Linked DNA regions of Xenopus tropicalis. The protein of the gene in region 1 interacts with the protein of each later gene in a pairwise test. Links are inferred from orthologs where the notes say so. Each region holds a gene or a part of one and is shown on either strand. Other genes may lie near its edges.

The links.
Region 2: the proteins of ccdc155l (region 1) and bag5 interact in binary tests that used the Homo sapiens proteins (3 or more experiments, as listed by UniProt). The two-hybrid records come from large-scale screens. The link is inferred for Xenopus tropicalis from reciprocal best matches to the Homo sapiens genes KASH5 and BAG5.

The regions. Positions count from the first base shown.
Region 1 is NC_030683.2:112,424,175-112,426,935, reverse strand, and holds the end of ccdc155l (lymphoid-restricted membrane protein), read right to left. Parts: intron 1,914-2,761; coding exon 1,753-1,913; intron 820-1,752; coding exon 621-819; 3' UTR 512-620; downstream 1-511. UniProt on the Homo sapiens protein: As a component of the LINC (LInker of Nucleoskeleton and Cytoskeleton) complex, involved in the connection between the nuclear lamina and the cytoskeleton.
Region 2 is NC_030684.2:98,469,449-98,473,020, forward strand, and holds bag5 (BAG family molecular chaperone regulator 5), read right to left. Parts: upstream 2,190-3,572; 5' UTR 2,156-2,189; coding exon 803-2,155; 3' UTR 501-802; downstream 1-500. UniProt on the Homo sapiens protein: Co-chaperone for HSP/HSP70 proteins. It functions as a nucleotide-exchange factor promoting the release of ADP from HSP70, thereby activating HSP70-mediated protein refolding.

The DNA.
Region 1 (2,761 bases):
GTGGGCGACTAATCTCCCCATCTACCACGGCTCTTATCTGTGCATTGGGAATCTAATGATGTACTTTGCAAGGACCAAACATGGAGTCATTTCAGTTTCCCTGTTTAGCTCAAGAAATAAAAAGAAAAAAAAATGTTTCCTGATTAAAACAATAGATAAAAGTATGCTTAGCACAAGCCCTATTCATTGCATACCAGCGGAACAAAGGGGGGGGGGGTACTGTCACTTTAAGGTGTTTTATTAAGGCATTTATTTGGCTAAACTACCTTGTCCGGCTGAGAGGGTGCAGCCTGTGGCAGTGTGTGAATGCTACTGAGTTCTTTACCATCACATTCTCCCACAACCCCCTGCCATAAGAACCATAGCCAAATGCTGCATCCCTCCCAAAGGATTAATTAGCTCTCGTCCCACTTCCCCTAGCTCATTAGCACATTAGTCTCTTATTGTGTCAGTCACTATTGTAAAACTCCTACCAGAGATCAGACACAAGTGCAACAATATAAGAACAATGGAAGATAAAGATAACTAAGATGTTAAAATAACAGAAATATAAAGATAAAATGCTGCTTTTGCTCTCTTCTTTATCATTGGCTAGTAGCTGTGTGGTGTTGGCACCTCTTTCAAACCGGTGGTGGAGAATGGTAGTGCAAGTCTAGATGAGGCCATATCTCTGCTTTCAGTACAGTCCAGATGTGCTCCCCTGCCCACGCTGGGCAAAACATCAGTGTGCCAAGAAGGATCAGGGTTAGCCATAGTGAGCTCTTGTTCTGCAGTTGTATGCAGGGCACTATGGAAGTGTGCAGAGTATCAGTGCATAACCTGAACAGGAGATGTGAGGCAATAGGTGAGTACCACAGAATAAAGGCACACAAAAACAGTGCACAGCAAAAGAAAATTTAATTCAAAATCTTACACATAACTTTAAAGCCACTGATCATTTTTCATTAATGGATATTTACTTAGAATTACATTTTTTTTCACAGCTACTAGGGGCGAAGACACACGGGGTGATTAGTCAAGTAGCAGTGACTAATCTGCATAGTGAAAACTCGCGAGCGTTTACTTGCAGCGACTACTATTCTATGGCAGAAAAGTTGCTGCGATTAGTCACGACGACTAATCACCCCGTGTGTGTTTGCCCTAAATGCCAGAAAATATCCTGCCATAGACTATACTGAGAATTGCCTCTGCTAAAACTCACCTAAAGACAATTATCAGTAAATGATCACTACTGTCTATTTAAGTAGCCGTGACAAGTAGCTGCTACTAGTAACTATGTCTGTCTTCACCCTTAACCTTTCTAAATACACAATAAAAGAATCAAGGCTGCCATACATGCAAAGACTTTACTAACCCATAACCATGATACTCTAAAAAACCATTTCTCCACATGGCTTAGCCTGACTGTGTAAGGCAACCTCTCCCCCCGTGTTCCACTGGGAAGTGATGGTTTCTGGGTCTCTTGAAGTCTCTCTGCTTTTAATAATGGGAGGTGCACAGATTCTCTGGAAAGCAGAGAGACTTAAGGTCATGGTTGGGGGTGGGAAACTCATCCCTGCAAGCAGAGACAGACTATCTTGGCGTCCTTTCAATCTGGGGAATAAGTTATGTCTGTGTAAAGAAAATACATTTCTATTTATATCTGGAGGCTCAGATAGCGCCAAAATGGGGGAACATGTGATGTTTGCTGAACACAAGAACCATAAAGTGAGGTTGGCCTTTATGCAGCAGGCACATATTCCAAAGATATACCATTCAGTAGCAGGGAGCTCCTCACTGTCTGGTTCCTTGGCCTCCTTCCCTGTGTACAGTTGCACGGCTCTGCCCAACCTGCCCCACTGCCTTTCCCACACATTCTTCAGCTCAAGCAGGTAGTTCAGTTCTAGCAGGAAGTGGCCGCTCTGCTCATACAGCTTGGATTTTAAGGAGAGAATGTGCCGTGGCAGACAAGAGAAAAACATATTTGGTTAAAAGATATGGTAATATATCCATGTTGTTGCATTAACCCTTTCAGTGACAAGCTGCTTTTATTGTGCAGCGCTACAGGTTGCCAGACCACACAATGAAGCATAGACCAAAGTGTACAAATGTAGAATCTGTGGTGCTGGCATAATAGTATGTTTATGTTAGCACCATGGATTCTACTTTTTCTGTTAACGTAATGGTTTGCAAACAGTTTTGGAATAATGTTGTATTTCTCATGGTTTAGATATCTACAAATATTGCACAATATCACAAAATGTATATTTTCAACTCACTCTGGCTTAGTTGCAGAGCTATCCTTAGGAGTGGCCAATAGTGGTAGTTGCCCTGGGCTTGAGACGTAAAGAAAGGACCATGCAGTGATGGCAACTCAGAGTGGAGGGAGTGGGCTATTTTTATATGAATACATAGTAGCCCTGTACAGATCAGAGGAGGGCCACATCCACAGTCTCATCAGGTATTGATCAGGGAGGTTGGAATGTTGGTGCCATACACAACCAATAAGTCAGCAGTCAATGCCAGGCTGTTTATGTCCAGATTTAGCTTTCTTACCTCAAAATCTCAGCGACTGAGGCCTCTGAAGGTTAAAGTATTGTGAACAATTGATTGCACATAAGAACAATGACAATGGTGAAAGAACATTTGGTTAAATGGTCAGAACACATGGCCAGATATGATATGGTCGGCAGTTTGACCATACTATCCAGCCGTCTGATCACAGATGATCAGTTCCATTTGGAAATGTCTTCTGCTGATGCACCATGTTGGTTGATGTTTG
Region 2 (3,572 bases), on another chromosome or scaffold:
GCTTGTGCAAGATTTAATGCGATAAAATGTGAATTTTTGTATATCTTTTTTTAAAAAAAAACCTTATTCAATTTGAATTTTTTGCCCATTTTGAATAGCATGTGCTATGCTTTAAGAATGTTTTCGCTGTCTGTACAGAATTACGAGATGCACATTTTGGTTTGTGAAGCACATTCTCTAAATATATAATGACACAATGGTGCTGATTTATTAAAAAATGAGTTTAGAGCTTAATACATGAAAACCCACATTCACCCTTAATTTCTGTTTATTACTGGGTAAAAGTTAGAGTTCATCATTTGATAAACACACTTCTAAAAATCCCATAGGAATTAACAGAAATCAAGCTGAACTACATCTTTTAATTCTGCATGTGCTGCAATGTCTATTTTGTAATTAGATACCTTAAACGCAGCAGCCTTTTTACACTGAACAATATAATTAAAAATGTACATACTATTCACTTGTGTACATAACAATGACAATGTTGTACCCCCATCAAAAAAGACAGAACTTTTATTTAAGAATCAGCACAAAAATGAGAAGAGAGATACAACTAGAAATATGCCACTTATTGTTCCACTTGATAAAGTCAAACTGGGATATTTAGCATTAAACATTCTATAATTTTTCGCCATTGGTACATGAAAACAAAAACTGGCTAGCTTTTGACTGAAGCTTTGTTTTATGACAGATAATTGGCTTAGTAAAAACCCTATCTTGCAATGATAATGCAAGGATGAAACTGAGACATCTTTACAGCCATATTTAAAGTGCAAGCAAAGCGAAAGCAGTGTTTTTTTTAGTATTCCCATTCATCAGTTTTCATATCAAGATATCCAAGGATATTATTTGCAAGCTTCACAGCTTGTTTTCTTGCAGCCTTTGTACGGCCATCCTGTGAATCAATGGCATCAAGAGCCAGCAATTGTTTAGTAATAAATTCTTCTAATCTCATATAATTTTTATCAGCTCTCTTCCCATCAAAGAAGAGGACTTCCTTTTGAAGTTCAGATAAATGTCCAAAGACAGTCCATACAGCTATATAACATGGAGGCTCTGAGACTGTGTGTTCTGGTAAACTCTGGCGCTTTTCGAGAGCTTCTTTTAGATCAATGTAGGTGATGACAGTTTGGACCTCAACTACAGCTCGTCTTCTAGCTTCACGAATGCAAGGATTCCTCCCTACACTAACTTCATCCAAGCTAGCTATGAGGCCCTGCAGCTCTGACTTTGTACCCATATAGATGTCAGACATATGCTGCTGCACTTCTAAAAGACTGTTCTTTATTTTTGCTGCTTCTTTGCGAATCTCTTCTATTTTTACAATTGACTGGTTTTGGCCCAAGTCATAAGCACTTCCCAACTCAGCTTCATCCTCTAAATCCAAATATTTCAGCAAACTGTTGATTTCCTTAACAACTTCTTTGCGATACTCTCTTATGTCTGTGTGGCCAGAAACATCCAGAGCATCCAGGTTTGCAATTAATCCAGTAAGAGTGCAAGATAAATGCCTGTATGTTTCATTGTCATTGACGCCAGCTAGAAGAGCTATGAGACTGCATCTGGCTTTGTTCACATCACACATAATTGAGTTAATTTTAGAAACTGTTGGATGTGCCTCAGCAGAGAGAGGGAGAGAAAGTACTTGTTGTTTAGAAGAGCTTTCTAAAATTTCTTGAATGGCAAGAACTTTAGTTAAAGTTCGGTACCTAGCTTTTCTTAGAGGGATCTTTCCCTCGGTTTTTACTTGAGTAAGTCTTTTCAAAATATTCTGAATTCCTTCCTCAAATTCATCTGTTCTCTGACCTTCCCCACTAAATTGTGTAGTATGTAGCGCTACCAAACTCTGAGTTTCACTAAAGATCTTTTCGATCTCAAGTCTGCAAGGATGGGTTGCATTCTGCTCCAGTTCCTTTAAAACTCTTTCTGTCTCTTCAGTAGCTTTCTTTTGGGCTTGTAGAATGTTTCCTTTTCCCTCTGTCTCAATAGATTCTATTTCAAATAACTGTTTAGTTAAATCTTTTTCAAGCTTTTTATAAGTTGGGTCACTCTTTAGACCACTAAATGTCACCACTTGTTGTTCAATCTCTTTGACCTTCTTCTGTATTTCTTGAAGAGCTGTGACTGAAGCATGTTGATTACCCATATCCATACTCAATACAGCAATTTCTTAGAAGATACTGGTGCTAAAAAAAAAACCAAAAACAAAAAGGTAAAGATGCCATTCCTAAGACATGTTTATTTAAACAAAAAACAGGTATTGTCTAACCATTACATTACATTACATTTATTTATAAAGCGCCAACATATTCCGCAGCGCTGTACAATAAGTGGGTTACATACATTGGACATACAGAGTAACATATAAAGCAATCAATAACCGATACAAGAGGTGAAGAGGGCCCTGCCCAAAAGAGCTTACAACCATCTCTTCATCCATGTATATATACTGTATATATATATATATATATATATATATATATATATATATATACTGATTTGAATAATGTTGATTTGAATAAAACTTCTATATTTTCTTAAGACCTGTGAGTGCGGACTCTCTCTACAGCTACTCCATCTATTATTTTGGGACTGCACCCAGGCTCCCTTGGACCTACTTATACGTGAGTGCCTGTCTTCTTGCAACATGCTATATATATATATATATATATATATATATAATTGAAACCTATGCCCCACGCACTTCACTTAAAAACTGGAAGGATTTTTCTTAAACTGTTTTTAATAAAATAATGTTCTAGTTATACTTTTCTTTCTCCTCCTCTATCTCCAAAAATTCCTGCATAGAACTTAAGTATGAAACTATGTAGCTAAATTAAGTAGAAAACTGAATCCCGTTTAGCAGAAAGTACTGGCCATGATGCCCTCTTACACTTTTCCATGCTCACACAAATTTTGAGGCCAGTGCACACAGCACACCAGTGAATCTGGTGTGAAACATAAAGGGAAGATAATGCTAGTTAGTCAAAGTTTATACCAGTGCTGTCCAACTTCTGCGGTGCCGAGGGCCGGAATTTCTTTAGCATACACGGTGGAGGGCCGCTAATGGAAGCCAGTTTTGGCCACTCCCCTTTTTTTGAACCACACCTACTTCAAACCACACCCATTTTATCACAATGGTGGTAGTGCACCAAAAACCCAAATGCTTGGTCCTCACTGCGGGGATATCAACAGTTATTCATATGTGAAAGAATTATATTATGTCATATTAAGACACACCCTTAAATCCATATGCCTCCTCCTCCCCTGTGGATAGCACAGCAACCCCCAGCAACATAATTACACACCTTAGGGACCATTTAATGGCTGTTTCCAACTACTAACAAACTCCCAGAACAAACCCCTGCCAGGTTCACCTCTCACAGGCAGCATAGGGCAGGCAGAGTATGGCATACACAGACCTCCTCTGATGAAGCGCCACACGGTGCGAAACGCGTTAGGAGAGTGGGTAGCATTAGGCACTGGGATACCCCTGTCCTTTTTGGTATGATTTATATGTTAGTTTTTGTTGTATTTATTTAAGCCAATAAATGTTGTGGTTTTTATTC